Linked DNA regions of Drosophila melanogaster. The protein of the gene in region 2 interacts with the protein of the main gene of each other region in a pairwise test. Each region holds a gene or a part of one and is shown on either strand. Other genes may lie near its edges.

Region 1 (9,892 bases), on a different chromosome or scaffold from region 2:
GATTTGCCAAAAAACTTTTTGCCACGCCCACTACAACGTCCTAACTTTTGAACCATTTTAAAATTTTATTCCCCAATATCTATCCATACCCCAGAAACATGATAAAATTTCGCATTCGCATTCACACTAACTGAGTAACGGGTATCTGACAGCCGGGGAACTCCACTATAGCATTCTCTCTTGTTTTTGCTCTGTTCTATCCTCCACTCTCTCCTTCGGACTTATTCGCGTTTCCCCCGGTTTGATGACGAACGGCGGCTCCGGGCGGTACTCATTAATAATAAGTAAATTGTTTGGTACACCAACACTCCGACGGGTCGTGCCGAAGTGGGTGTCGCTGCCGAGTATGAGGGGACGCACATCACACCATGCTGCATCTCCATCGTCGGAAGGGGCGACGTCAGTCCACTAGCGCGAACGGAAACCAAGAGACACCAGAGCCGAGTACCAGCGTCGACTTTCGGCAGTGCTCTCTCACACAGCGACGGATATCTTGCCCACCGTCAACATATGGTTCGACATCGGGGCTAATGGCCCTCTGCCCGCTTGCTTACGCTGAGAGTGTAAGAAGTCTAAAAATAGAATTTGCTTGCTTGTGTGAGAGAGACGAGAACGCGTATGTGTGCATGTTGTGATTCTGATCGAAGAAACGAATTTACATATTTGGGGAGTTTTGGCCAATTTCGGAGCAATATGATGAAATTGCGGGCTGTTTAAAAATATCAAATTGGAATATAAAAAAAAAAAAATGAATATGAAAAACAACTGAATCTAATGTGCATTTTAAATAACAAATTTGGATCATTTTTAAAATGAATTTTCCAAAAAGAAGACAATAAATTGAGAAATAAATATTTCATAAAAATAATACGTACTAGAAAATAAAAATTTATAAAATAAATAAAAATATGAAAACTGTTTAATTCAAAACAAGAATTTTTCGCATGGTGCCAATTTCTCAAAAATAATATAGATTTAAAGTCCAAGAACTTCTAAGGTGAAGGGCATATTTTGTCAAATTTACAATGCATGAACATATGTGTGCACACATACAGTTGTCTGCTATCACTGTATGGGTAGAAAAGAGCTGATCGTTGTAGCGCTCTCCGCTCTCGCGCTCTCGAACAAAATTCGAGAGAGCCTGAAGCCACCTCTAGAGCCATGGCGAAAAAATCGTGTGCCAAAAAATCGTATGGCGTTACGCATCATGTTATTCTAGTGTCTTTGGTTGTTGGGTGCTCCGAAGACGGATTATTAGACGATGCCATGGGTCTCCATATCCTGGGAGTTGGCGATGAGAGGGTATGCAAAGGAGACTCTCACCCCGATTCATACGGAGACCCCACGGATAGAGGTGGTGTTTCGCGTCGAGGAGCAGCTTTGGATGCGGATCGAGAGCTGCCTGACTGCTGACTCCTCTAGTACGGTGTTCACCAATATCATATTGCCAAGTTGTGCTATGTCCGGATGTGTCCCCAGAATTGATCCAACCAGGTGTCATGCCAAGCCAAAACGGGTGCCATGTAGCACAGAGCGCAGTGCTATGATGGATGCTTTCCGGCGCCTATAACCACTGCCGCTGCTCGAATCCCTTTGCAATCTAGGACATTACAAGGCGAGCGTGATATTTACGCCCATTTCGTGTGCCAGTTCCTGGCGTTCCTAAAAGAAAGAAGGAATCCACCCGCTCCCTTTTCCAACGGGAGTTTCATTTCTTTCATTTAGGAACCGTTGGCCACACAACCGTACTTAACTACATGACTTCTTTTTTTACTTTATTGGTATACATGAATATTAGCTGAAATAAAGAAAAACTATTCTCCCCTGAACTCCTTTGAGAACTCAGTATTTTTCTACAGACATCTACACTGGCAGCCATTTGGACCCACCAATTTGCATAAATGGAACGCGGCAAACAAAAACATTGCCCCTGGAGATATGGCCACCATCATGTATTCGAATACACCCCCCGGCACTTCATCCGGAAGCATCATTCGTATTTAGTATTTCTTTCTTATCACCTGTTCGGACGGTATATGTGAGCGTTCGAAGGCTGGTCTCTCGTTTTTGTAAAACAGAACATTTCGACCAGTAAAAATTAATTACAAGTTACCTATCGTGATCAATTCACCACCACCCACATTTTATATTTTGTCTTATTTTTATTTGTTTTGTAAATGTCTATAGATTGCCAAAAAACTTTTTTCCGTGCCCACTCTAACGCCCACAAGCTTCCCAAAACTGCCACGCCCACACTTTTGAAAAGTTTTCGAATTTGTTTTTTGTGTGTTTGGATTTGTTTTCTGTTTATTATTTGCCTTGCCAATTTCTATAGGTATACCAACAACACATCGGCCACGCCCCTTCTTCCTTTCACATACAAAACGCCCAAAACAGTCAAGCAGACACTATTAACCTATTTTTAAATTTTTTCTTATTTTGTTCCCCAATATCAATCGATAAAATAAAATATCATGTTAGCATTTCCACTAGCTGATTAACAGGTGATAGACGGAAACTCGAATATAGCATTCTCCCTTGTTTTTAAATTCTCCAATATCTATCGACATGCCAGAAAAATTATGAAATATCTCCTTCGCATTTTCACAAGCTAAGTAACAGGATCACCTCCCTGTGCATGCATGCGAGTTGGCTCTGCCGGGGTAGGCATCGCCTAGAGTCCGGCATAATCATAGTTTCGTCTCATAATCTATGCCTTTCCTAATATATACAGGTGCCTTAAATTCACTGCTCGTTATCAGATTAGCTCGTTATTAGATTAACATGGCTCCGTTTCTCCTTATGTTCTGTATTTGGCCATTGCACGAAAATCTATCAATGTTATTGTTTTTTGTTCACTGATATTCCCTCTCTCTTTGAGGATAAAAAAGAGGTCCTGAGAAGAACCGTTATCTTTTTAATTCTGCTCTGTTTTACTTTCGGCGAAAAATTGGGCACCTATATTGCATCGCCCCAACTGCAGTTTTGAATATCTTCCATAACTTGAAAGGTGGGACAACAAAATTTTTTATGCTGTTCAATTGAAAAGTTTGGTTTAATTTTGCGAAAAAAATTGGAAGAGGAACGCTGTTATCCTTGCCGGAAAAATCCGATATCATAGCTTTCTATGAACGCGGGCTGTCTTTTCATAAAATTGCAGAAAAACCGCAGACATCGCAAAACTGTAACAAATTTGATTAAAAACAACTAAACTTAAGGAAAAAACTATAAAGGCGGCAATAACATTGTCTTTAACGCGGCAGATCCCTGGTCCATACGTCAAAGACCTTGCAACTCCCACTACTCTTACGGCCAAATTCGAGAAAAAAGTGGTGAAAACCCGAGCAAATCGCTGATTCAAAGGGTGATTAAGAAAAATAAACATTCCTTTAAGAATATTCTAATTTAATTATAACTAACTATCCTGATGACGCAATTTGGTTTACCCATTTATGGATTGTGCTTCTTTTTTATTTAAATCAAAATCTATAAACAAACTGCATCCCATATTAACTTTTTATTTATAGAATTAATTGTACAACTTTTAAGGGAAAAAAAGGGAAACAAATTTCCAAAGGTCTAAACAGTTTTCTAAATATATCACATCAAAAATTTTTGCTCAAGGGGTGCTAGCCTGGTGACGCGCAGTGTATTATGAAAAAAGGGCACTACATTTCTAAATTATTTTATCTTATATAAATATAAAGATCTATAAGAACATACGCTTTCAAATCCACTATGTTTATTTATAATTTGAAGTTATTTCATTTTACATTTTTAAATTGCAGCTGCTAGGGAAACGTAATTTATTCATCAAAGTTTGGGGCAGCACTCTTAGTTTTGGAATAATCCCTCACAGGCGAATAAAACTGAAAAAAAATGCAAGATTCAATATATTATATATTATATTATATTATATTATATTATATTATTATATTATATTATATTATATTATATTATTATATTATATTATATTATTATATTATATTATTATATTATATTATAATATTATATATTTCATCTAAAAAACACGAATTACAGTAAACCTATAAGTCCACCAGCAATTAAGAGATTTAAATATTTTTAGATTTTAGTAAACTGACACTGAACGATCGCAATCAGTTTTACATTACTTACGCAAACAATTGTTTACCTAGCAAAAGAAATTTGAAAGGCAAAAACAAAAAAAAATTAAAACATTATTAAGTAACAGTGAGTGTTTGCGGGGCTTGTGGGTAATATAATGGAACTTATGTACCTTCACTGCGTAGTTGACCCTTAAATACACATGCTTAGTCTCAACTTTCTAGCTTCAATAGTTCCCTGGAGGTTTACGAGGTTCATCTCGGTTCAAGAATATGTATAATTTTTAAGGTCAGGAAGGCATCCATTAACTGGTTGCATGCATTTTAAAGAATCTACTATTCTAGTGAAGTGATAGAATTTGATAGAAATTTATCTGAAGCGAACGTTTTAGACCCTGTGTAAATCTCTGGCGATCCCTACATTTCTGGTTAGTCACTGTCGACAAAATAAATGATAAGTTCTCCCGCATTGCGTCCGAATTGCTATAAAATATTAAATGTTAGAACATTTTTGTGATCTTTATTTTTTTTTCATAGTTTTAAATAACTAGATTATTATAAAATTGATAAAATTAAAGGGTTTGATTGGCGTTTAAGTCGCAATCACTACATATTGAAGCATATCCCTCTTCCTTTTTATTTAAGGGTTGAATTATTCCTTAATACGCACTAATGACACCCCATCATTTCTTAATTTCACTTATTTTACCTATTTACCTAAATTACCCATATATATATATATATATACATTTTTTCTGCCATAAAGAATGGTGAGTATGGTGTTTTAATAATTTGTTATTAGCTAGTTGATATACGCAAATATCTCCGTTTAGAGATTGTTAACAGGCGGTGTTTACGGTTATTGGGAATTGTTTTGCGAGACAAATAATAAAAGTGAAAAAAAGTATCACTGTACAAAATAGTCGACTTCCTCGACTATCAGATACCCGTTATTCAGCTAGTTAAAATGCCATAGCGAAATTTCATGATTTGTCTGGGATATCGATAGATATTGGTGAATAAAATTTTTGGGAAATCAATCAAAATTTAAAAAACTAATAAAAATGTGAAAAAATGTGGCAGTTTTTGAAGATTTGTGGGCGTGGCAACATAGGCCAACAAACTTGCGCTGCGGGTATTTCTCTAGAATCTGTATGCTTAATCTCAACCTTCTAGATTGTATAGTTCCTGAGATCTCGACATTCATACAGACGGACGGACAGCGTCAGATCGACTCGGATATTGATCCTGATCGAGAATATATAGGCTTCATATGGTGAAAACTCTGCCTTCTACCTATTACATACTTTTCAATGAATCTAGTATAACATCTTACTCTACGAGTAACGGGTATAACTACAACTACAACATAGTATATATTCGTGAAATATATATGTGTAATGGTTATGGCATGTCGGTTAAATCGCCAAAAAAGTAAAAAATTGCAAAAATACATATATCTATAAGCAAATTTGGTTATTAACAAAACCACGGTCGAGGGCTTTTCTTGGCCCATTAAAATATGAAAATAGAATATGAATATTAAGGAGCAAATCTAACCTTGTATTGCTTTTCTTTGTACTCTTGCCATGGTTCGGGATTTGATGTGCGATTCCAAGTGACATCGGGATTACGAGTAGCAAGTCGAGCCATATAGTAGACGGCTCCAATAGCTCCCGCTCCAACGCACACATAAAGTGGAATTAACTGAACAAATTTTTGTTATGCAATCAACAGATAACTTAATATAATCATAAAACTTACAGCTGGATTTTTTTTAAGACTTTGCAGACCAAGACCTTGCATTTTGTCTACGTTATAATTAAAATGTATTTAATATGTAAGAAAGAAACACATTTATAAAAAATTACCTAACTTTACTCAATCCAATAAAACAGAATGGAACTATATATTAGATATGGACATATTTCGATGCCAACAGCGATGTCATCGATGTTTTCCAAACATCGGCAACTCGATGTTGACTCAAACATAAAAATATATGTATTCATAACAGGCAGATGTCATATTATTTTATATGTGACATGCCAGTATTAAGCGATGCTGGTATAGAATGGGAACTCAAAAATCATGCACATAAATATTTTTTTTTACATCTAAGGAATATATTATTTTATATACGTAATTTTTATGCATGCTTGTCGCACAGGTTTTATGTTAGGCTGTCATAATAATTTCAAGCCGCCGGGAACGATATAATCTTCTGAAGTAGTCATGCATTTTTGTTACATTTTGTTTATATGTCGAAAGGATTTTTTTTCAATAATAACAAGAAAAAATGCTATGTAGACTTTCCCGACTATTAAATATCCGTTACTCAGCTAGAGGCAATATGATCGCGAAATATCATAATTTTTCTGGGACACGGATAGAAATTGGTGAATGCAATGAGAAAATATTTAAAATTGTTCAAAAATGTGGGCGTGGTCGTTTTTTGGTCGGTTTGTATCGTTAGAGTGGGCGTGGCAAAAAGTTTTATGACAAATCAATAGAAATTTACAAAACTAATAAATATATGAAAATATATATCAACACAATTTTCAAAAGTGTGGGCGTGGCAGCGTTAGGCGTTAGGTTAATATCATATGGTTAATCTAAGCTTTATAGCTTATATTGTTCCTGAGATCTCGACGTTCATACGGACGGACAGACGGACACGACCAGATCGTGTCGACTACTGATCCCGATCAATTGTTCCAATGCTTCCATCAGCCTATTAGGAACTTTTAAACGATTCTGGTATACCCTATTACTCTACAAGTAACCGGTATAATAATAAACATAGAAAACAACAATCCTGATATGTGTGGAATATGTTAATTCATTAAATGAAATATTTTTGTTGGTAAAAATTAAAAATATTATTAAACTTTTCTCAATCGTCTTCAATACTTGAATATCACATATTTTTCACGAGAGTTCAATCATCAAAAATCAATTTTAATTATTTTCTTAAAGTCATTACTAAAGAATGACTCACAGGACTCAAAACTACAAAACTATTTAACTTATTCATTATATATTGGTTACGTTACGTAGGTCATGTGGCTCAGTGGGACTATGATATATTTAAAGCCCGCATTCTTTACAGCACTGCAAAGTTACAATCCTGGTACTATTAATAATCAGTGGACTACATATTATCGAAAAAGGCGTCGTCGGTTAAAGAATTTATGTTAAAACCTGATAAAATGGGCACGTTAACCGATTTCGGACAGATAGCTTTGAAATGGGATCCCAAAAATTTGGAAATTCGCACAATGTCAGTTGAAAAAACACTTGAACCCCTTGTATTACAAGTAACTACTCTTGTAAATACCAAGGGCCCAAGCAAAAAGAAAAAAGGTAAAATGTTTATAGCTTATAGTGCCTAGAAAACCTAAATATTAGAACTTTCAATTTTAAAGAAACTTTTTGCGAGTCGTGAATAACTGTGCGTATACTCATTTTAATTTTATTAATTATAAGTATTGTGTACATACGAGAAATGATAGAAAATGTTCTAAAACGGCTGTGTATACTATACATACATATTGTGACATCTTAAATTTTGTAGGATAGAAAGCATTTGAATTCATGTAACAAGCTTAAAACTGAAAAGGAATGTGAAAGCATCTTTTACCTCTTTAAACGCAAAATTGCGAAAATATAAAAAAATAGCCTATTAGTGATTTACATATATTTTGATTGTGTTTCATTTTGTTATATGTATATCTTTCCAATTTCTATCGATATGCAATAAAAATGTTCAAATTTATAGTTCGCTTGGCCACTAGCTGAGTAACAGGTATCTGATAGTCAAGGAAATTTACTATGGGGTTCGCTGTAATATATATTTGTTACTCGTAAAGTAAAATGGGGTACTAGATTCGTTGAAAACTAAGTATGAGGTAGAAGAAAGCGGTTCCAAAAAAAAAATATATATTCTAGATCAGGATCAATAGCCGAGTTGATCTGGCCATGTCCGACTTTCTGTCCGTATGACAAAGCGTTTTCATATGAATTCATATTTTCATTAGTCTTTTAAATTTCTATCGATTTACCTTTTTTTTTTATTAGAGTTTATCATTTATTATTAGTCATACGTCAATAGGAATCGTTCAGTTCCTTCTGAACTTAACCTAATGTGTAGCTTAAGAGATATGGATTCCGTTCCTTAATTAAAGTGTATACAAATGTACCGTGGAGAGAATCGATTTATCAAAAAACGTTTTGCAACGCCCACTCTAACGCCCAAAAATTGGTTTTCACACAAAAATGTTTTGGTATTTTTCATACTATTTTATTGATCTTGTAAATCTATTGATATGCCAAAATACCTATTGTCAGGCCCACAAACCGCCCAAACTTTTTGAAAAATATATTTCTTGTTTAAATATAATTATTTCTTTTTCAATTTTTACCGATTTTCCAAAAAAATTGAAATCTTTCACACTTCTAGTTGAGTAACGGGGTATCTGATAGTCGGGGACTCGGTTATAGCATCCATTCCAGTTTTTGTTTTAAGTCATGTCAATTCTTTTTGCAAAACCATTTTGGTCAGGAGAACTATATACAGAACTATCACAGGATGTAAACAGCTGTCAGGCCCTTAAAATACAATAAATTGTTACTTCATATTATTTAATTACTGTTTTTATACCCGTTACTCGTAGAGTAAAAGGCAGAAGGAAGCGTTCCCGACCATTAAAAGTAAATATTTTTTGGGCTGGCTCCAGCTCTCTTGAATTTTTGTTCAAGAGCCAGATTTCGGAGAGCTCTTCAGCCAGCAACTTCATTTTACGCATACAGTGACAGCCGAAAACTTTTTGTGTGTACACGAATACTCATGCATTGTAAATTTGACAAAATATGCCCTACACTTCAGAAGTTTTTGGAATTTAAATCTATATTATTTTTGGTCAATTGGCATTATTTTAAAAATAATTTTTTCCTATTCGTATTATTTTTATGAAATATATTTTTTTAAATGTATTAAACTGTATGTGTTAAACTACAAAAGTAATAATAACTATTCCATATCGCAACTTTTTTTCATTTATAAGTTTAAATATTGATGAACCTAATATTAATGCTGTAAAAAAAAACTTCTCCCAGTCCCCTGTTGAAAACTCCAAACATGTTAATTCGTTTCTTAGATCAAAATTGATTTCGGCCCGAAAATCGTCTTCTAGCACAAGTACGCACACATATACACTTTCACGTTTAAACGTTACTCACACAAGCAACCAAAGTCTATTATTTTACGCTCTCAATATTATTCGAGAGAAAAGAGCACAATCTTGGCCGTCACCAAACAAGTAGCTGCTTAGTGAAAAACCAATGTATGGCCCTTACGCATCTTGTTATTCTAGTGTCTTTGATCTGACCCTGTCCGCCCTTCTGTCTGTCCGTTCGTATGAACCTCGAGTTCTCAGGAACTATAAAAGGTTGAGATTAAGACATTTACGCAGCTCAAGTTTGTTGACCCATGTTGGCACACCTATTCTACCGCCCAGAGCTGCTACGCCTGACCTTTGGAAAAATGTGAAGTTTTTTCATATTTTTATTAGTCGTGGAAATTTCTATAGACTTGCCAAAACTGTATGGTAAAAGAGTATACCAGATTCGTTAAATTCCGACTATATAAAGTATATATATTCTTGATCAGGATCAATAGCCGAGTCGATCTAGCCATGTCCGTATGAACGTCGACACATTAGCTAGAAGGTAAAGCCGCCCTAAAACCGCCCAAAACTGACACGCCTACATTTTTGAACCATTTTTCTATGTGCCTAAAATTTTTT
Region 2 (7,071 bases):
AGGACGAAATGTCTCAAAGTCGCAGAGCACGCCGCAGGCTGCTGGACCTTCGAATATCAATTTCGAAGGGATTCCCAAGTCGCTGAGCGAACAATATGTCCGCCAGCTCAAGGAGAGCGACGTCTAGTCAGATTCCCAGTCTCCAGTCCAGAATCTAGTCATAGGAGCAATCTATAAAATCGTTGTACGAGATAAGCGCGTGCATTTTGGGGTCAACCCGAATTAATTATTTAGATGTTGGCACAAAAGATGTCAGGTTCTCAGAACTCATCAATATTTCTTTTTTTGTACGTTAATAATTAGCGACCGTGTGCAGTAAAGTTGAGATACTCAACGAGCCATTTGCGAAGCAGAATCAGATTGATCTGCGTAAAATCAAAAATCCAAATCTAAGGTGTAGTCACTAAATCCACATTTTTTGTTTACGAAACATGCAATTACCTATTTTTATATCTAACCAAATATATTTTAAATATATGTACATTTTAAAAATATATCAAACGCTTTTCATTCGGTGCAATAAATTAATATAAATTTCCGATTACCGATTTTAAGATAAGAACCTCGGTACGAAAATAATGGGTGAACTTTTAATGTTAAGTAAAACTCACCTTTAAATTGATATTGTTTGCTGATTTCACAAACGAATTTGTGGTTTAAAAGTCTCGTAAAACAAAAACTTCTTGTAAAACCATGATCTATTTTAATCACAATCTTTCAATAATTGTATTGTAATCACAACGATCAATTTATTCTTATTTGGACATTATTGTGCCGATTATCAAACTTTGCCTTATCAATGGGTGAAATTCCAAAGCTTATCTGTGATCCTCATAGTCGTCCAACTCCGGATAGTCCGTATCATCGTCATCATCGTCCACCACGTTTTCATGGGGTATTTCCGGAGGATCAGCGCCAGTGTTCCAATAGCGATCCTCTTCGGGATGCGTGAATTCGAAGTCGGGCTTATCCGGATTCACGTAGGTAATGCAAGTGGTCAGATTCTGGGCCGTTTCCAACATTTGGGGTATGCTGTTGACGAACACCACTCCACACTCCGCAGAGTGGATGGCCTCCTCCGGCAACTGGTTGTTGATTTTGCCGTAGACATCGATTCCGACAGCGATGATGTCGTGTAGCCGGCGGATCGCACTGAGAGCGTTTACTGTACCCGACAGGATTTTGCCAACGGTGGTCTGCTTGGCGGCAATCTTCTTGCAAATCTTCACAAGACTACTGACATTGCGTTTAACCTCCTTCACAGCGGCCACTGTTTCATTCTGAATGCGCATTACCAAGGCCATGGTGCGGGAGTAGCAATCAACGCCATCGTTAATGGCCTGCAGACCTATCTGGAACTCTGGGACCAGCGAGTAACTGCAATAGGCGGCCTGACTTCCGCGGCCCCAGTAGTTCCACATGTATCCCAATCCGGCAATGGCTGCGGTCACGATCTTTGGTTTGTTCAGCTTCAGCAGATTCGTCTCCAGTTGGATGGCCCTCTCCACCAAGTCGTCAATGCCGAACTGTGCCTCGTCAATAACATCCTGAATAATCTCCCTGAGATCCTCGAATTCCGCCCTCTGATTTGGTGTGAAGTCGGGACTGGGCTTTCCCATGATCTCGTCGACAGTGGGCAATTTTGTGTCATACACCACTCGAGGTTTCTCATCCAAGTAAATGGAGAACTTTTCGCGAAAGTCTTCAAATGCCCGTAGGTAGTTGCTATCCAGTTCAGGCTCCTCCGCGGGATTCTGATCACTCCCATCGCCGCTCTGGAGCCTCAGGCTGTACAGATAGTTGTACTGCGCCTGAAACTCTAGGTACAGTGGACGCAAAGCAGCCACTTCCTCGCCAGACAACTGCAAGTCCACCTGTTGCTTCTGCAGCAGAGTCTCCAGTTCCTGGTTGGCTTCACCAAAAGCGAAGAGCAGCACACAGCCCAGCAGAAGCAATGCTTTTCCAATCATTTTGCCCGGGCAACTGTTTCAGTACAACTGAGGGAGGGATTTTGACCAGCTTCATTATCGGAAGAAGTATGGCTCGTAAAACACTATCGAAGATACCACACTTGGTTTTTCTTAAGTGGCGCAGGTTGATTAGGCTTATCCGGCTTATCGCCAATATTACGCTATATATAAACCACCACGGGGCAATGTTTTTCGAGAGAAAATTTAAATTTCTATTTGGCTTTTTATGAATGGTCGAACTGATAACGATTAAAGATAACTATGCTCATAAATATTAGGTAAAAGTTGATGTAAGTAATTAATATTTTCAAGTCGACACCAGACCACAGTTAATAGTGCATTTGACTTTATTACATTCTTTCTAGTTTATCGCACACGACTCAATCTGCGTAAAGAGGTCATCGAAATCCATCTTCAGATGATGGTAGAAGAGGCAACTTGGTGTGTCCAGGTCTTCCAAGGACATCTCCAGCACAATTGCATCGCACAGCTCCAGACTGCTGATCATCCGCTGATTGATCCTCCCGATTCCAGCGACAGTGCATAATAAAACTCCGGCGTGATTGAAACCAGACTGCTTAAGCTGCCAGATTCTGCAGGTGTTTGACAACTCACTGATCTCCCGCGAAGCCTTACTCAGAAAATTAGCCTCCAGCACGATTTCCTCCTGAAAATGATCCATGATGTGGTCCAGAGAATTCCTGCAGATACTGTACTTGTCCACCAGCTCTCGATTGAAGTGTGCCACCTGGAGTTCGTACTTCTTTGAGCATGCCCGCCACTCATCGCTGTACTGGCTTCCAAAAAACATCTCCAAGCGTCCACTAACCACTTGCTGATGGTCATCCAGTGTGTCCTTGGCTTCTTGAAGATACTCCAACTTCTGATCGAGGGCCTGTTGGGTGACGTTCCAGATCCTGGCTGCACTGGAGCTTTGGCTGGCTATAAGCTGCTTTGTGGACTCATAGAGTGGTCCATTTTGTCCCCAAATTCTTTGAAAGTGGCCATGCACCTGTAAGATCTTTTCTTTAATATTATACTTTACACAAATAATGCTATTTCATACACAAAGAAGCGACTGAAGTAAAAGCAGTGACACCCGTACTGTTGTCATCTTGAAACTAAATCGAATTGATTCCCGAAAAATTGAAGATACCATACCTTTTATTTATAGATCGCCAAAGGTTGCCTTAATTAACTAAGACTAAGAATTAAATTCTTTTTTGGGAAAGAGTTTTAACGCTTTAACAAAAATTGTTATTGTTTATAAAGAAAATATTGGGATACCGAAAAATTTAACAGCGTAAGTTGCTAAAAATACCCATGTCATATGTGATCAATATGAAACTTTAGGGTATTTAAGTTCCGAACAAAACTTAAATTAAGTTCTGAATTAGACAAATGGCTCATTTGTGTCTTATAATGTTTATAAGAAAGATTCTTATCGCATGATGACTGTGTAACGACTATATGCTTCAAGTTAGTCATCAACCTCAGCTTTCTTTAGCAAACTTGAACTGTAAATATCTCCCCTTTTACAAATAAAAGTATAATTGATCCCTCCATTATTCAACGAAGGTGAGAAATTTACAAAAAGAAATTACGAAAATTTACGAAAAATACGATGACCAAATAGAATACTTTGAATAGTATACCAAGTTCATGTACTAAAACATCATCTCAGTTCATCAAGTTAATGCTCAAATTGTGTTTCGTAGTGATTGCTATGAGACACACTCTTATCGTGACACTGGATCTCTTGACATATATAAGAAGTCAAGTGTAGGGCCAGTCGCACTAGGAAATATAACAGAAAGATGATGAGTCAAACTCTGGGAGTACTTGCTCTGCTTTTGCTGACTTTGGCAGTGAGTTAATAGTAACTTTCCATTTATAGTACTTTTCAAATTCATATGCTCCTTTATTTCAGGACTGCCAAGAAGTCGGCTATGAAACAAAGATGGAGACAGAGACTACAAACTATGGACCTGTTACCATGGTTGTGGACAATCTGGCAGAGATTGCCGTAAGTGTCAGCGACGACACCTCCATTCAGTTGGAGGAGAAAATAAATCGCACTCGGCAAAATATTGCCGGTAACATTGAGGTCCTGACCGCCAATGCTATGGCCGAACTAAGTGATGTGATCTATGAGACAAACCAGTTAGTGGTGTCCAATCCCGATTGCAACCCAGCCTGGAGCCTGGATGAGCTCAATGAAAATGTGACCCATCAGCTGGGTGGGTGTACGGAAGACTTGGGAAGCCTTTTGGAAGACTTCCGTCTGGAGAGTCAACTGGCTTTGGCCAGAGTACAGGAATTCGTACAGCAGATTGCCCACTTGCCGGCCAAGTGCCAATTGCTGGGGGCTTCCCCGCTTAATCCTCTAGCTTCAGCTGGCGGAAGTGTCTGTTTCATTAACGCGATGGCGGAAATCAATCTGGGGATGGCCCAATCCATGCACAATGCATCCCTAATCCTGGTGCAGACCCACCAGACCGCCGAGGATCAAGTGGTGCAGGCTCAGCTGTGCAGTGCCATGGTGGTGCAGCACATCGGCGACTATCTGCGCGAGGAGCAGGATCAGTGCCGGCAATCATAGTGGACCGACCCTTCCCGTAAGCAATAGTCCTAAGAGAGAACCCAGGCAAAAACAGCCAATGGCAAATTTATGCACCCGCAAGATGACAGGGGCCGAGGACTCGCCACATCCTGTTCACTTATTGCTTATGCATGACATTTATTTGACAAGTTTTTGATTGATTTTACAGCTGCTGCAGTCGATCTGGTACAGCTATCAGCATATTTGCAGGCACAGTGAAGCCTTTTTAAAGTCTGGCTTGGAATTGAAATAAAATCAATTTCAAATCACTATGTTCTTATAAAACGCTAAGAGGCGTGTGTTAAACCAAGGAATTTACACATTTTAAAATGATCAATAAATAGTGAAGTAAATTACTACTTAGTATCAAGATCTCATTTCAGTTTGATTCGACTTAGAGAGGTTGCTCTGTAATTGCATATATATACATATGTACATATGTATATTGGGCAACTTTGTGGCTAATCGCAAGTTCACTTTTCAAAGTCGCATGCATACTAATTGGCCATTGTTCGGCTAAACTGACCAATTGCCCAATGGACTTGCCCACGACACGTGGCAGCCACACGATATAAGATATAGTAGCATACGGATCCGATCCAAATGGGCGACAGCTGGCCCTAGAAAGAGATAGAGACGGAGATCGAGATCGAGATCAGCCAGTTTTTTTCCTCTTCCTCTCGCTTCCGCAGTAAGCAAAATTATTTTGACCTGCCTACCGCACACTGAGCGAATATCCGAAGCGAGTATCTGTGCATCCGTGAGATACACCAAAGCATCGCATCACACATCTCTCTCGTCGTTCACAGTGCAGCAACGAAATTTCTACGACTCTTTATTTCGGCTCTTGCCGCAATTTCACTAAGAGTCTCTGAATTTTATCTTATTTTTACTGCTTGTAACAGTTGTTGCCCTGCTGATGATCGCCTTGGTAGTGTAGCTGCACAAATTCCGCCTACTCCAACATCTGTTCAGCTCCTCCAGACATCTGACGGATTTTGATGACGTAGATCGCGCGACTCTTGTCTATTGAAAGCCGAGCTCTGAGCAAAACAATCTTTTTACATCTGGCACATCGAAAAGGCTAGTCACTGACTATTAAATTATAAGCTGAAATGGTTTTTACTATAGATTTTAAAATAAAATCATTCAGTGCGCCAACAATTTATTTATGTTGCAGGCAAAATTCTGTGTTATAGCATTAATCATCGAGAAATATAGTTTAAAAAATATTTCTATTAATGCCTAATCAACGATGGTCATTCCCATACGATCAGTGATATAGGACTTGACTGCTTCGAGTGCAACCTCTTGCACATGCCGGTTATTTAGTATTAGTCTTGCGACATCTCGAACGCGTACATTTCTAACTTCGGATATGGCCCTGATCACGTGCTGCTCCAGTTCTCGACGCTGACTCTCCGTCAAATCGTTCAAAATGACCTCACTTAGAGATTTGAAATTTCCTGGAATTAAAAGACTGATAAGAATGATAGTCACCATGTAACGCTAGACACTCTTGCCCTCCGTAAGTCCGTAGGCGGTGAGACCACCGATGGCCCCGCCCAGTGCCAGTCCCCGGGGGCCCAGCAGTAGTCCTCCGATCAGCGCAGCGCCAGCACAAATTGCAGCTCCCTTGCCGGCCTCCTTGATGGTCAACTGGATATTTTTATCGTCGGCCAGTATAGCCAGGGCATTGATTATCTCTGAGATGGCTGAATCCATATTTTCAATTTATGTATATTTCCGTTACAAAGTTTTACTTCTTTCCCGGTGACGATCTTTCTAACAACTGAGTACAATCACGTTGTTATTTCGTTATCAGTAGTGCAATAATTGTATATCCGCCACTGTGGAGGGGAGTTACTCGATACAAACCAAATCATCGAAATCAATTTTAATCTATCATTGCAATCAAGCTTCGCATATGTACATATGTAGATTGAAAGCTTTTTTTTAGGAGTACCCGATATCAGAACCCAAGTATAAAGAAATCATAATCTTATGGCAGTGCATCCAATGATTTAGCAGGCATGGAATGGAATTTTTTGAACCGCATGAATAATTACATTTCCAGTTGAAATCCCAAATTACTGGTTAAAAATACCACAAAGGCTTCCAATGCGGCACATTGCACTGTAAAATCACGCTTGAAACACTCCACAGCATTTGTAGCGACACCAACTATTTTTATAATAGCTGCCTTCACAAAGTCAACCAATTCTGCCAGGACCCTCAAGGTCAAATCCGCAATTTTCTCATACATCCAGTAGATAACTCCTACATTTCAAATACAATTGATATGATAGGTAGGTAATCGTTTAGTGTTTTATACTCGCCTTCTGTAAGTTGACCGTTTATGTTTATGTTTATGTTTATATGCCGTTGGCGGAACTTACCTTCCGAAGAACCTTCAAGGTGTTCCCTTTCCCTTTTCCTCCTCGCCGCGTTCAGGAGAGTCTCCAAAATCATTTCTAAGTCAAGATTCACCATTTTAAC
Region 3 (6,789 bases), on a different chromosome or scaffold from region 2:
TGTGTCCGGCGACTTGAAAGCCTTTCCACGACACTTGGCACACACGCGCTCCTACTTTAATAATGTAACTATCCCGAGAGTTTGAACCGCAGACTGAACTTCAGCCGCTGTTAGATGTTGAACAGGGACACCACCTAAATCACTGACACACAAAAAGGACGAAAACGATTGCGTATCACATCACTAGTTTGGCTATATGAAAATCCTTTTACACCATATGCACAACATTTACGTTATTTGTGTAACTTTCTTTGCCTACGAAAACTAAATTTTACTTTGTAAAACCTATTGAAAGTCTAAAAAAAAGAAAACAAAAAATATACAAAAAAAAGTAACCTGATAATTTAAAGCCAAAATTTAATCTGTTTGCTCGGTCGAAAGTCGTTTTCATCTTTTCCAACATTTATCTTTTTTGTAATAAACCTACCCAAACACTCAAAGCTGTAATGTAATTTTGGATTTGCCAACCACCCACATGTCCCCGCACACCTATCATTGTATTTTTTAATAAACAAACAGACACACACAAAACCTAAAAAAAAAAACAAAAATGTGAAAAAATACGGCATGCATATGTAGCACGTTAATTTCGAATTGACCTTTTTGTATGCCAAGTGCAACAGACGAAGGCGGCGTTTTGGGTTCCAGTCTAGAAATTCCAAGCAACAATCTAATTGCAGGCTGAAATGATAATTTAAAGCGATGATATGTAAATATTAGTCAAATTAATATGTGGACGAGGATTCGGAAGTGTAGAGGATTTATATATATATATATATATATGTGTCTGGTGTACCAGAAGTTGCTCAATGAAATTCAATCCACAAAGCAAAGTTAAACCGAAATAAATTTTAAAGTAATGTGTAGAACGAAATGTCATATTTTGTAGAATATTTTCGGTGTGTCCTGACAACAGCAACATATTATGTTATGTAGGTATGTGAATGATTGATTGAGTGTATTGTTAAAACCAGCTGGTGATAATTAATGAATGATATAGACATGATATAGATATGCTCTAGACAACAAATATTAATAGTTCGAAACGAAACACTTCACTTCGTCGAAAACCATCAAGGAATGTTAGATTAATGTGTAATTCTCTGTTTTTGCAATTGCAACAAAATACCACAAGCAACTAAGGAATATATACTTATATGCAACCATAAATATATATACACATATATGTTTATATCCACAACAAATGAAAGACAAATGGTCCACAGAGCAAAATGAGTCGAAGATGAGTGGATGTGGATGTGGATGACGATGGATGATGATTAGCTTACGATGTTTCCTCTCCGTGTGCATTCTTTGATAACTTTGAGAATTGTCTACCAACTACACACTTTTGTATAATGTTAACCTTGAACTTGTGTTTTGAATTTATGTATTAACTTTAGTTTAAACATTGTGACATAATGTACGATGTATGTACATACTGTATGTACATACTGTATACTGTATGTATGTGTATATATCCAGATTATCTATATGCATATTCGACAAGGTCCAAAGCCAACGTATTCCAATTTGCGATCTGCAAAACATTTTACTTAGTGCAAACTTTAAAACGAGTTAACCTGATACTGAAACTGAAACCGAAACCGAACTCTAACTGAATCAAAATCTAAACCAAAAATTAAAAAAAAAGAAAAGAATTTAAACAGGAAAAGCAGGACGATCATCTGAATTGATCTGATTTGTCGGAATTCTTTGGTTTTGCCAGCTGCAATGAAGAGGTTTATTTCATGTTTGGGTCCCATAGCTAATGCCTGGGCTGGGCGGATTGTGTTTTTACATACAATACAATACAATAAAATAAAATAAAATAAAATAAAATACAATACAATACAATATATAGATATATACACATATATATTACTTAGCTGTATGTTAGTTGGATAAGCCTGTAGAGAAGAGGACATTTGAAATATCTCTAGCGCGTAATATTAAATTTATACATCTATAAAGATAAAGATACCAGATACAGATACCAGATATAATTGTAAATTCAAGCAAATCAATCAACAATCCATTGAGATTTGTATATAATATATATACTTAATTACGTATATCTAATTATTATACCAGCACACACACATACACCACCACAAGCAGACGCCACACACACACACATACACCACACACAAACACAAACACACACACACACACACACAAACAATATATAAATATTACTTACATATTACATTATATATATAAAAGATAATAATAATAATGTATCTATATCTATACCATATACAACAATTACCATACATATTACTTCTGTGCGCTTCTTGCGATCTAAGGAATTTCAATAAAAACAAACAAAAATACCTAAAAAGTATAAAACCGACGAAAAATACAAAAAAATATACAAAAAACAAAAATATAAATCCGTTTTGCGCATTTATCACTTTTGGGCTTCGGACATGGAACATGGGACATGGGTGCTCCTAGTTCGAGAAGTTCGTTGGCAGATTCGCCATCCATGGCCATAACCAGTTGGCCATTGGAATGGAATAAAATGGTCAACTGTTTGTTTCCTCCTTTCCAATTTTATGGCTAACATCTGCCGATTATGAGCAAGCGGAGCTGGGGATCCGCCGAAATGCATCTTGGCCGACGGAACGGGACGGAACGGGACGGAGTTGGGACTCCGTCTTAAGACAGCCTCAACCTCGACAACTTCATCTTCATTTTCATCTGCAGCCGGCTGGCTTTCGCTTCTTCAGCTGGTTTCACTTTTTGTACAATTTAATTCGCATGTGTTTTTCGGGTAATTGTATAAGTTTTCTACCAATTGCACTCGTGTAGCGTCGTCTCTAGCGTCCATGCTATATGACCCGGAGCGGGTCCATGAAGTTGTTGATAAGTTGGAAATATGACAAATATACATTGGCCGCAGGTGAATGGATAGCCATGCGGCAGCGACTTTGTTGTCGGAATCTTCTGTATATTGGTGATTTATGCATTTTGATTAACTTGTTAATGGCCCGAAGAGTTTTTCGCGTGCCTGAGAAGATACTAAGCGAGTCGAAAATAGACAACACGTCCATGAGCAGATGAGCCAATGGCTTAAAGAGCACTTGCCTAGCTAAATAATAAGAATGTCTAGCAAAAGGTATTTAGCATATTTTGCTATTCGAATTGCTGGCATCAAGATGAAGCAATGATGTCTCAAAAACACACATTAATAAAGAACTAATTTATTGGGCATTAAAAATCAAGTATACGACTTAATGCTATTAAGTATACGCACTGAAGTTATCAAAAATTAAGTATTCGCGCCATCGAATTCGGAGAAAGTTTCGAAAAGCTTTGAGCTTTATAGTAGCTAGCTTTTGTATGTGTCTATCAAAGCGCCGTATCTACATTTATTATACATATCGATACTATGTAAAATTAGCTTACTGTTTTTTTGGGTCTTTATTGACATATACCATAATTTGTGTAAGAGTATAATTAAAAATAAATAGATTATAAGAGTTAATTTTTTTTAATTTATAAGCTATGTTTAGCTTTTTAATTTGACTTTTGTTCTATTTACCCACTTTCCAGGAGGATTAGATTCGCGGAATAGCTTTAAAAAGTTTAACAGTAAAAAGTTTGGCGCATAACAAAACATTTTAATTTGGAATACATTTTTTGAATATTTTTTTATTTTTGTTGGACTTGCTGTTACTTAAAAATATTGCAGGCTTAAATAGCTCCATCGAGTTAATTCTATTTGGTCCCACTGCTCTGAGCAGTCGAAAGTTTAAAGCTGGGCCGAAAGCTTTCGCTAACTTCAGTGTCGAACGCGGATTTCAGACGAGCGGTGGCCGAGAAAGAGAAGAAGAAGTGATTTGAGCCGAGAAACTGAAGCTTGCAACACACCGAAAACACACACACGAACACGGCACACCAACACACACACACACACTAACCCGAGGAGCTGAAATCGAACGCGAAGAACACTGAGCGAAACGTGCAAGAGAAGTGATTAAAGCTGCTACCCGGAGTTGGAGTTTGATTCATTGATCGACGAACCGAGTGCGTAAAGCCCGTAAACTTTGGATTGCAAATATACACACACGCATACAGGCGCAGCCAGGCAAGCACACACTCACACGAACACACCGCCACACGCACACACTCTCGCAGAGAGTTACCTGAATAACCGCCGCGCCTACCACCGTCGACCAACTACCGCGTTTTCCTTTATCTCACTCCACACCACTCCGCCTACCACCCACCGCCCCTCGCCCGCTTAACGGTAAACGGAGTATCTCTATGTGTGTGTATCTGTGTATGTTTGCCCACGCATCCGCCTGTGTGTGTGTTTGTGTGTGAGTGTGTTGTCTTTTAGTGTTTTCGTTTCGAAAAAGTTGTGTGTGCATTTTCCAAAACGAGAGAAATAATAGTCAGTGAAGTAACGAATAGAAAAGAAAAAAACGAAGCAGGCAAAAACAAGGTCTCGATTATACAATAAACAGCATTTTGATTTTGTTTCTGTGGCTGGTGAAAAAGCGTTCTTTTGTAAGGAGAGGGTGAATATAAACACAAATACAGAGGCAATTACGAAGAGACACGCGCACACACTCACAAAATAAGAAACAAAAAAAAAAAAAAAAGTGAAATAACCTTCAGGAGCCGAGCTTGTGCAACTTCCACTTCTCGGCCATGCCACTAATTATTTATGATTTCGGTTTAGTAGCGAGCTACGTTAAGTTCATTCAGTGACAGGTTTATTCACCAAGAACACTTACCTCGTGCCACCCCAACGAACGCCCCCCATTTTCCGAGCATTTCCCAAACAATTTTCCCACCCGCTGCCTCCCGCACCACTTTGTACAAACGTGCTGCAACATCGGCTGCGAATGCATTAGAAATTTATGCGAAAATACATAACTAAGCGAGTGCCGGAGCAGCATTTGACCGGAGCCTAAAAACTGGCTTTTCCTCCTCCCTGGATTTTCGTGCGCTGAATTTCAAATATACATATATGACTGCAGTTTCGACGGCTTTCCCGCCTGTCAGCCACTCAAGTCATCATCGAAGCCAGCTGCATGGCCCACTGGGGATTCGTGGGGGTCACAGTTAATTGCCAGCACAGCCCAATTATCAGGCGATATTGAAATGGCCATGGGCCATATAATCGCTCGCTAGTTTAGTCCAAATCCCACAAACTAGGCAAAGTTGGTCCTTAAATTGCAAATAGGCTGTTAAATATTAACGGCCAGCTATTGGGGTTTTTGCTTTAAAAGCACTAAAATGATATTATCTAACAACTTAGTTAACCAAATGATGCAATACTGCAGAGCATTATGTTGTAGAACTTAAACATGATAGTCGAATCCATTATGATAGATCTTTTAGTTTTTACCATATACTAGACTAACAAAAATTTACATACTTTGCCCCACTGTGCGTGTCCGCTTAACAGAAACTGACAATTATTAATAAGCGTTTTAGCATTTGCCGCCGCACAAATGTGTGTGCACACATAAGCACACAGTTGTGTGTGTGGAATTTCCCTAATAGAAATGTAATTTCCCCCAAACCCCAAGCCGCCCCACAAACTGGAGTTATTGTTCGGGCAGTTGGCCAGCTTATTGGGGTCATTGGAGTTGGCCAGGCACGACAAGAACAACAATCGCTGAATGAGACCATTGTCAGGGCATTTGGCCATTCACTTAATGCTTCAGCAAACCGGCCATTATATAAATGCATTCTCTGCTCTGCTGTTTCGTCGGAAGAAGAACGAGCTGACTGCTGCAGATTATAATTATTATTCGAGGACTGTGCGACAATTCGACACAATTTAGTCGAAGATAATGCCGGGAAAATTGCTGCAATTTGCGCTCAACAATGGCCAACGGGAAATTAATCCCGCTGACGTCAGGTGAAACTAGGCCCACAGTTGCGCCGACTAATAGCCAATGATTGGGAAGCTATAGCTGTAGTAGCTGGAGGTTAGGCCTTGACGCCTATGACGCATCCGACATGAATATAAACAGCAAATATTTGGGCGACGCTGACTGGAAGATACACAAATCGGACCGCTTTCCGCCTGGCACTGTTTGTTAGCTCTGGGATTGGAATTCGGAATCCGGGCCAGAGATCAGAAGGCAAAGGACAATGCCAACAACCTCGTGCAGCTCGCACGGACTGGCGCACACACGGCGTATACTTAATGCATGGCATCTGAATGCTCGGTTTCGGTCCGTGCCAAGCGCAGCCCAGTTGGATTCGTTTGCCCACTCCGGCGATGTAATGCCAATCCTGCTACGGTAGCAGGAGGGCTCCTGAGCTCCTTCTGTAGTTTTTATGGCAACTGAAGCCAAGTATTTTGTATGTATTTTCGGCTGTTTCTGACTTGTTTTTTTTTTTTTTTTTTGGAAGCAGCCTGGCTCGGCAAAGGCCTTGGCATGTGGGCGACAATTTCGCATTTATTATGCAACAGTTTGGCGGATTGAGCGTGTAGCGTAAACAAAGTTGCTACGAGCATTTGCTGGCCCAAATTGGAACGGCTGGCGATGGGGGAATCGCATTTATTCTAGACTCGTTCGGTGTCCGACTGAAAAGTACCCTGGAGAGCCAACCATTGAGCTGAATTCTTTTACTGAGTATATTGCATATGTATGCTTAAAGGTATAACCATTCTATTTAATTGCTTTTATCTAACGCAATATATAGTTCGTATGTGCTATTCAATCAATAACAATGTCACATGTTACCTTGCATATATAGGAGGGATTATATTGCGCTGGTTGCCAAACATCCTGCCTTTCGATAGTAAACAAG

The links.
Region 1: the proteins of CG11672 (region 2) and ND-MLRQ interact in a two-hybrid assay, tested with the Drosophila melanogaster proteins (one large-scale study listed by BioGRID).
Region 3: the proteins of CG11672 (region 2) and Gdap2 interact in a two-hybrid assay, tested with the Drosophila melanogaster proteins (one large-scale study listed by BioGRID).

The regions. Positions count from the first base shown.
Region 1 is NT_037436.4:23,335,434-23,345,325, reverse strand, and holds the start of ND-MLRQ (NADH dehydrogenase (ubiquinone) MLRQ subunit), read right to left. Parts: upstream 6,001-9,892; 5' UTR 5,892-6,000; coding exon 5,850-5,891; intron 5,793-5,849; coding exon 5,646-5,792; intron 3,870-5,645; coding exon 3,807-3,869; 3' UTR 3,724-3,806; intron 1-3,723. Other genes in the region: alpha-Cat (alpha catenin), read left to right, coding at 7,280-7,451.
Region 2 is NT_033777.3:8,287,265-8,294,335, reverse strand, and holds CG11672 (uncharacterized protein), read left to right. Parts: upstream 1-3,757; 5' UTR 3,758-3,787; coding exon 3,788-3,838; intron 3,839-3,900; coding exon 3,901-4,572; 3' UTR 4,573-4,941; downstream 4,942-7,071. Other genes in the region: CG9626 (uncharacterized protein), read left to right, coding at 1-127; CG31463 (uncharacterized protein), read right to left, coding at 819-1,970; CG31464 (uncharacterized protein), read right to left, coding at 2,332-2,982, 3,037-3,084; nazo, read right to left, coding at 5,818-6,038, 6,096-6,297.
Region 3 is NT_033778.4:7,732,623-7,739,411, reverse strand, and holds the start of Gdap2 (Gdap2), read left to right. Parts: upstream 1-3,789; 5' UTR 3,790-4,035; exon of another isoform or gene 4,036-4,258; intron 4,259-6,789.